Canis lupus familiaris: one gene and its partner. The main gene of each other region encodes a partner of the protein of the gene in region 2 in a complex. Links are inferred from orthologs where the notes say so. Each region holds a gene or a part of one and is shown on either strand. Other genes may lie near its edges.

Evidence for each region.
Region 1: GTF2F1 (region 2) and POLR2G share a complex: the UniProt entries of both Homo sapiens proteins name them as parts of the TBP-based Pol II pre-initiation complex. The link is inferred for Canis lupus familiaris from reciprocal best matches to the Homo sapiens genes GTF2F1 and POLR2G.

What each region holds. Positions count from the first base shown.
Region 1 is NC_049239.1:54,436,321-54,440,859, reverse strand, and holds the start of POLR2G (DNA-directed RNA polymerase II subunit RPB7), read left to right. Parts: upstream 1-1,489; 5' UTR 1,490-1,691; coding exon 1,692-1,703; intron 1,704-1,822; coding exon 1,823-1,932; intron 1,933-2,887; coding exon 2,888-3,047; intron 3,048-3,780; coding exon 3,781-3,831; intron 3,832-3,926; coding exon 3,927-3,992; intron 3,993-4,088; coding exon 4,089-4,160; intron 4,161-4,357; coding exon 4,358-4,391; intron 4,392-4,539. UniProt on the Homo sapiens protein: Core component of RNA polymerase II (Pol II), a DNA-dependent RNA polymerase which synthesizes mRNA precursors and many functional non-coding RNAs using the four ribonucleoside triphosphates as substrates.
Region 2 is NC_049241.1:54,176,124-54,179,926, reverse strand, and holds the end of GTF2F1 (general transcription factor IIF subunit 1), read right to left. Parts: intron 2,649-3,803; coding exon 2,464-2,648; intron 1,925-2,463; coding exon 1,771-1,924; intron 1,691-1,770; coding exon 1,509-1,690; intron 1,398-1,508; coding exon 1,321-1,397; intron 1,243-1,320; coding exon 1,104-1,242; intron 932-1,103; coding exon 814-931; intron 722-813; coding exon 517-721; 3' UTR 469-516; downstream 1-468. UniProt on the Homo sapiens protein: TFIIF is a general transcription initiation factor that binds to RNA polymerase II and helps to recruit it to the initiation complex in collaboration with TFIIB. It promotes transcription elongation.

The DNA of each region.
Region 1 (4,539 bases), on a different chromosome or scaffold from region 2:
GTGTAAAGAGCATTGATAATAGTAAACTGTGGTAAAATAATTAGGAAGAGATGAAGTTAAGATTTTATTTTACTTTTTTAAGAAGTCTCTCTATGTGGGGCTCAAACTCCCAACCCCAAGATCAAGAGTCATATGCTGTACCAACTGAGCCAGCAATGCACCCCAGGAGGTGATGGCTCTTGTAGCTGGTTCTAGCACACCACTGTCCTTAAGATTGCCTTTAAGGGGAGGATGGCTGGGAAAGAAGAGAGGAAAAGTCAGGACTGCTGAGGCCCATTCATCTGCTTCCTTGCCTGATCTTTCTTTTTTTAAGATTTTATTTATTTATTCATGAAAGACACAGAGAGAGAGAGGGGCAGAGAGAGAGAAGCAGGCTCCACGCAGGAAGCCCGATGTGGGACTCCATCCTGGGACTCCAGGAACTCGCCCTGGGCGCCCCCAGCAGGGGCCAAACCGCTGAGCCACCCAGGGATCTCCTTGCCTGATCCTTCAAAAGGGATCCCCATGGAGTTTTAGTGGCAGACTGGTGGGATCAACTATTCCAGGAAATGGACAGTGTCCATACGAACTGGTATGTGACAGTTCTGAGGAAGCAGACGTGAAGTGTCTGTTCTTGCTGTAGGGTGGGTCAGGATCTTTTATTTACAACATAAAAAAAAAAAAAAAACCACCATAAAAACCTTACTCAGGCAACTGGGAGTTTGCTCAAAGCCTTAAGGATTGTCCGGCTCTTAAAAAAAAAAAGAAAAAAGGATTGTCCGGCTCTAGAACCAGCTGCCCTGGCTGAGCCTTACTCATGGGTCTGTCTCATGGTTTCTGCCTCTTTCTGCATGGCCCTTTTATCAGTCAGTCTCAACAGGGAATAGATTGCATTATCACTCCGGTTAATTGAGGGGAGTTTAGCAAAGCGACTGTCTACAAAAAAGTGGGCAGAGTTGAGGGAACAAACCAATCAATTCTCTAAGCCCCCCATGCGTGTGTGTCAGCGGGTTGGGGGGAAACGGGAAAGAGGAGTGCAGTGACTTGGTTTCTCACACCGGAGGGAGGACTGACTCCTGGGCTCTGATTTTGGCTGCTTCATCTCCTAACTACCTGCAGCAAGGAGTGGGGTGCTCCATTTTATTGAACAAATGACTGCATGAAAATCTGGAATGTCCAAATACGCAAGGGTCTTGGAGGTCAGACACTGCACATTTGAATCGTGACCCTCAAGTGACCTCAACTCTCTGAGCCTGGTCCCTCATTTGTAAAGCTTGCCTAGTGGTGTTGCTATGTACATGAAATGAGATAAAGACAGCTCCTTACGATGCTTACTATGTGAAGGCAGCCTTCAAATATTTGCCACACGAATGCGTTCTGCTAAAGCACTGTATTCACGTTGTCTTTTATTAGCTAATTAATTCCGTTTAACAGTATATCGCGCATCCCTCCTAGGCCAGGAAACTGTTCATTTAGAAGAGCCAGCATTTGCGCCGCAGAGGACCTGGGCCGGAAGGGCGGGGCCTCACCGATTTCCCGCCCACGACAGCGATGACCAATTGGGTCCGCGAAGGGAGCGGAGTCCCGCCCACTTGGCGGGGACAGGCCCGGAAGCAGGGTTCCGGGGGCGGTGCGTGTTTCCGGTTGCGTGAGAACCGCGGCTACCACCGAGGCAGTTTGGGTTTGGCTGCTGTCCGGTCCCGGCTGGGAGGATGTTCTATCACGTACGCGGAGCACGGGGTGGCCGCGAGGGCAGGGTTAAGAGGAGGAGCGAAGCGGGGCTCCGGGACGAGGAGATGCTGTTCCTCGTCCTTGCTTGGTCTCCATGCCGCTTTCCCCGCAGATCTCCCTGGAGCACGAGATCCTGCTGCACCCGCGCTATTTCGGCCCCAACCTGCTCAACACGGTCAAGCAGAAGCTCTTCACCGAGGTGGAGGGGACCTGCACCGGCAAGTGAGTCCCGAGTGCTTCGCGCCGCCTGATCTGCAGCCTCTACCCAACTCCTACTCATCCTGCAAGCACCTGCCACCTGCCCCCTGCCCCGGGGAACCCTCTCACCCTCTCAGGCACCCGAGGCAGTCACTTGCTTCCGGCCTGGGTTCCCGAGGTGCCCTCTGGATCGCGAGACTTACTTCAGCAGAGACTGGTCATTCGTTTACTCCGCAGACTTTTTTTTTTTTTTTTTAAGATTTTATTTATTTATTCATGATAGAGAGAGAGGCAGAGACAGAGACACAGGCAGAGGGAGAAGCAGGCTCCATGCAGGGAGCCTGATGTAAGACTCGATCCCGGGATTCCGAGATCACACCCTGAGCCGAAGGCAGGCGCTAAACCGCTGAGCCACCCAGGGATCTCTGGGAATCTGTGTTTTAAGAAGTTCCTCTTAGGTGATTCTGAGGCATCCTCAAGATTGAAGTCTCTTGGCTTAAGGACTGCAGTCTCCTTGGACATTTATTGTGAAACATGAGAGCAGTGTTTGGCATTATAGATACTGATCGGGGATCCCTGGGTGGCGCAGCAGTTTGGCGCCTGCCTTTGGCCCAGGGCGCGGTCCTGGAGACCCGGGATCGAATCCCACGTCGGGCTCCCGGTGCATGGAGCCTGCTTCTCCCTCTGCCTGTGTCTCTGCCTCTCTCTCTCTCTCTCTGTGTGTGTGACTATCATAAATAAATAAAAATTAAAAAAAAAGTTATAGATACTGATCTGTATTCTTCTCCCAACATGAAGTTCTGTGGGCAGGGGTGCCATCTATTTCCCTTTGTGCCGTCCCCTGACCCCCATCATCACTGATTTGTTGTAGATGATTTTATTTTTTTTTATTTTTTATTTTTTTGTTTTTTTTTTGTTGTAGATGATTTTAGAGGCTCTTGCACACACGATGCCTTTCTTTTTTTCATCCTCCTTACAGGTATGGCTTTGTAATTGCTGTCACCACCATTGACAATATTGGTGCTGGTGTGATCCAGCCAGGCCGAGGGTTTGTCCTTTATCCAGTTAAGTACAAGGCCATTGTTTTCCGGCCCTTTAAAGGGGAGGTCGTGGATGCTGTTGTCACTCAAGTCAACAAGGTGAGTCCATACATAGTGGAGGCAGTTGGGTGGCTGCTCAGAAGATGGGGGATGGGTCCCAACTGCTCTTGCTAACTCTGTGTCCTTGGGTAAGTCACTTTTGCTTCAGTTTCTACACCTGTCAAATGGTGCAGAAACCTCCCTTGGGGTCCTGTAAGTCAGTATGAGTTGTCAGCAATAGTAGTCTCCATTCATTGAATACTTATTATGGGTTGGGTAAGGTCCAAAACCTAACGGTGACTAAGGTCATGCTTTTATCCATTTTTATAGAAGCTTACGCCTGGAGAAGTTAGAAGTTGTCTAATGGCCAAGGTCATGTGATCAACAGGTGGTCAGATTGTGGACCGACAAGTGCCAGGCCTTGGCTCTTTAGTGCACTGTATTTGCGTAACTTGAAATGAAATCTCAGCAGAAGAGACATGAAAGCAAATGATACAATTCAGAGTGGATTCAAAATATGAAGAATATTATTAGGAATTAGATAAAGTTGGGAAGCTTAGGTGAATTTGAGGATAAAAGAAAAAGCAAAGTCGAGGTGCCTGCCTGGGTGGCTCAGTCGGTTAAGCAGCCGCCTTCGGCTCAGGTCATGATCCTGGGATGGAGCCCCGCAGCCAGCTCCCTGCTCAGCAGGAATCTACTTCTCCCTTTCACTGTCTATACACGTTTGCTCTCTCTCTCTCTCAAATAAATAAAAATTTAAAAAGAAAAACAAAGTCCCCCATTGTCCTCTTAGGTTGGACTTTTCACAGAAATTGGACCAATGTCCTGCTTCATTTCTCGACATGTAAGTCTGGGCGTGCTGGGGGTGCTAAGGAGAGAAGCCAGTCATGACTCTCTCTGGAAGCACTCCTGTAAAGCTCTGTCTTGCTTTCCTTTCAGTCCATCCCATCAGAGATGGAGTTTGACCCCAACTCCAACCCACCATGTTATAAGACAATGGATGAGGTGAGTGGGGAAGAAGTCCATGAGAAGGACGAAGAATGAGCCCTCCAAGAAATTTTGGCTTGTAGGTATCTGAGTATCCTGTTTACTCTTCCTCAGGACATTGTGATTCAGCAGGATGATGAGATCCGCTTGAAGATTGTGGGGACCCGTGTGGACAAGAATGACATTGTGAGTCTCTTGCCTACCTTCTTACCTGTACCAGGCAGAGCTGGCAGCTGTTGATTTTCTTACCATGCAGGGTTCCTGGGGGTTTTGTTTTCTTCTGCCAGGAAGAGGGGATGGGTGAGCAGAAGGCCTGGGGCTGGGCTAGAAGTTAGTTCTATGCTTGCTTAGGCTCTGTTTCCTTTCTGCCTTCCCTCCTGCAGTTTGCTATTGGCTCTCTGATGGACGATTACTTGGGTGAGTGCCTGATCGTGTGTCCAGGGTTGTTGCCTAGAAAGGGGTGTGTGGAGGCAGGGGGTGGATGTGGGACTTAATGCTCGAGTCACAGATGAAAGAAACTCTTATGACTGTCTGCTTGGAAGATCGGGACCTGTGCCTCATGAGA
Region 2 (3,803 bases):
CCCATCCCAAGTTGTAAAACACAAGAATCAATCATGGAGAGGAGTCAGGAGGCCCGCAAGCGTCAGGAACCAGGTGCCTGGCAGAGACCGTGGTAAGACCAGACGCTTAAAATGTGAAAGAAGGGGTCAAACCACAAGCAGATCTGCTCTGAAGAGGAAGCAGAGATGAGCCGAATGGAGAGCCGGGCCTGGGAGCCGAGCACTTCATGGGTTGGGGGGGGGGGGGGGGGGGGGGGGGGTGGGCACAGCTGAAGGCAGAACCGGAAGCCAGCTGGAGGGACGGCCGCCCACGCAGACACGCAGAGAGCACCATGGGCTGAGGACTAAGGAGCCAGCTCCAAGGGGCAGGGGAAGGTTCCCGGAGGGAGGGACCTGGGAGACCAGAGGACGGCCCGGGGTGATCCCGCACTGACAAGGGGGCTCTGGGACTCAGGGAGCAGGTGACAGACAATGCGAGCACCCAGGAGGTTCTGGCGACGGAGCCTGTTTATTGGGCAGGTGGGTGGGCGCCGCCCGTCACTCCTTGAGGGAGAAGTGCATCTTGTCGCTGATCATCTTGCGCTCGGGGTTGAGCCGCTTGAGGATCTGCGCGAGCACGTTCACGGTCTGCTCGCTGCTCAGCCCCGTCTTCTTGGTCTGGAACTTCTTCAGCAGGTCCTTGGTGGTCATGGGCTTCCGCGTCAGGTAGCGGCGCACCGCGTCCTCCGTCACCTGCACGTCTCTGTGGGGCCAAGCAGAGGGCGGCGTGGGCGGGCGTCCGCAGGCGGCCTCCCCACACCCCCGCCCCGCCCCTGCCATTCCCCCGCAACGTACCCGCTGCTGGGGGTCGACTTCCCCGACTGGGGCTGAGGGGTTGACTTCCCCGACAGGCTCTGGGGCCCCGGGTCCAGCCGCAGACGCTTGGCCACCGGCGTCTCATTGGTCCGCTTGCCTGGGGGAGCGGGAACAGGGCTGAGTCCTGTGCTCGAAGTGGGGGAGCCCAGGCGGAGGGGTGCCAGGATCCCAGTGCAGGGGGCCCAGGGGGCACACAGGCCTTGGCTCCCGAAGCAGAATGCGGGCCAAGGGTGGGAGAAGAGGAGGCAGCGAGGCTGGGTCCCGCTCACCCTGCTCCAGCTTGTTGGCGGCGGCCCGCAGGGTGGAGGACGTGCTGCCACTCTCCGCGCTCGGGCTGCCCGGCCGGCTGTTGCCCCGAGAGCTGCCTCCCGACGGCCTCCGCTCCCGCTTGGGGGGTGTCTTCTTCTTCTGTGGAGATGGGGTCCGGGACATGAGTCTACAGATAGCCCGTCGCCTGCCCCCTCCCGCCCCCGGGCCGGGCCATACCGCCATGAAGAGGGCCGAGGACGCCTCGCTGTCAATGTCGCTCTCCTCCGAGCTGTCCGACTCGTCGCTGCTGTCTGCTGGGGGCCAGAGGAGAGGTGTGGCTGCCGGGGTGCCCACCCGTGCCAGCCCCGCCTCGGGTAAGGGGCTAGGGGGTGGGGGGTGGGCTGGGATGCAGGGAGGGGACCCACCTTTCCTACGCTTCTTTTCCTGGGGCGTGGGCGCCTTCTTCTCCTCCTCCTCCTCCTTGTCCTCCTCGGGTGGCTTCTCCTCCTCGCTCTCCTCGCTGCTCTCGCTCTGCTCGTCTACGCCCTTGGGGCCCTCCTCCTGCTGGACGACCTTGGGCTTGCCCTCCAGCTCCTCCTGCGAGCTGCTAGAAGACAGAACGAGAGGGTGAGGGCCGGCCTGGGCCATCCTGGCCCCAACCCCTCGGCCGCCTCCTGCCTGCCTTACCTCGAGCCGTCCGACATGTAGTCCACCTCCTGGCCCTCGAAATCCCCATCGTCGCTGTCCTCGAAGGCCTCATCATCGGAGCCCTTCTTCTTTTTCTTCTTCTTGGTCCCCTTGGTGGGTGGTGCCTTCTTCTTGGCCTTGGGGGCTCTGCCCCCTGCGGAAGCAGAGGCGGGCTCAGGCTGGCGCTCATCCTATTTGGTGTATCCGAGGAGGTCCGCCTCGGCAGAAGCCCCCGAGGACCCACGTCTCCCAAGCAAACCCGACCAATGCAAGTCTACACCCCTGACTCCCTCTCTCCGGTTCTCACACTCAGGAACGCCACCTCCTTCCCTGCATCCCCCAGGACCGGGTACCGACAATCAGAAACCAGCCTGTGGCCAGAATTATTTGAATTGGCCAACCTGAAGCTGTTGCACCCTCTGCCCCTCCGCATTGCACATCCCGTGGGAGCCCCAATAAAGGCCACAGCTGAGACCTTCCTGTAGCTTTCTGCCTCCTACCAACTCAGGTGCTTGCCCAGTGGCCTGTGTAGCCTGCTGAGCCCTGCTCTCATTCCCAGGGGGCTGTGACTAAGCTTCAGTGGCACTAACCTCCCTGGGCCATCACTCAGACACCTTGACAAAGTACGACGCAAGCACAGATCACCAGGCTGTGCGGATCACCCAGTCACCCCGGGGGCTCCACCGGCCTCACCTTCCTCACCACTGGCCTCGCTGTCGTCAGACGACATCTCCAGGTCATCCTCCAGGTCGTGGATGCGCAGCTCACTGGCTTTCTTTCGGCTGCGCTTCTCCTTTTCCTCGTCTTCCTCCTCCTGATCCTGATCCTTGAGCCGTCGCTGCTGCATGATGCTGAAGTGGTTCAGGACTTTGTTTCTCCTGTGGGCAGGGGAATGGGATGCAGTGGGAGGTGACAAGGGGCCTAACTCCAGAAACCGGGCCTCCTAACTGCATCTACACCAGGCACTCCCCCAAAGGGGAACCATAGACACAACTTTGGTGATATGAGGGATGATCACAACCCTGGCAAGTAACACCCTGAAATTACATGCAGAGAGCTGAATTTCTTTGACTCCTTTCAGTCCTATGTCCCTCAAGGAGAAGCTCTCAGTGGTTTGGTATCCCAGCATCTCTCAAGCTCAAGGCCTTTCCCAGGCAACAACAGAATTTGGCCACAATGTATTTACATCCATGTGTTTTTATGGTAGTTTATGGGTGCCTTTGTTTTTATGACAAATAATACTGCTGTTTCCATTTACCGTGATGGTAAAAGTTTTTAAAGTTTTTAAAAATATGACTATCTAAAGAGAGTCTTAGGATTGTATCTAATAGCACAAGCAAAGTTCATCAGTGGCATGGGAAGGAGTAAAGCTCTTTGATACAAGAATGTGAGTGGACTTAACACTACTGATTAGTACACTTAGAGTTGACAAATTTTATTGTGTGTTTTTTAGTTATTTTTAATTATTTTTAATTAAAACATGGAATGAGGATCCCTGGGTGGCGCAGTGGTTTGGCGCCTGCCTTTGGCCCAGGGCGCGATCCTGGAGACCCGGGATCGAATCCCACATCGGGCTCCCGGTGCATGGAGCCTGCTTCTCCCTCTGCCTGTCTCTGCCTCTCTCTCTCTCTTTCTCTCTCTCTCTGTGACTATCATAAATAAATTAAAAAAAAAAATTAAAAAGAAAATTTAAAACATGGAATGAAATACTGATATATGCTACAACACAGATGAACCTTGAAGACCTGCTGAATGACATGCCAGTCACAAAAGGACCAATACTGCATGATCCCACTCGTATGAGGTCCCTTGAAGGGTCAACTCAGAGAAGGAAAGTGGAATGGTGGAAGCCAGGGTTGGAGAAAGGGGGCAAAGAATAACTTTCATGAGGACAGAGTTTCAGTTTGGGAAGATATGAAAGTTCTGGAGATGAATGGTGGTGAAGGTCGTACAACAATGTGAATGTACTTAATGCCACTGAACTGGATACTTAGAAAGGATGAAATGGCAAGCTTTTACATTACATACATTTT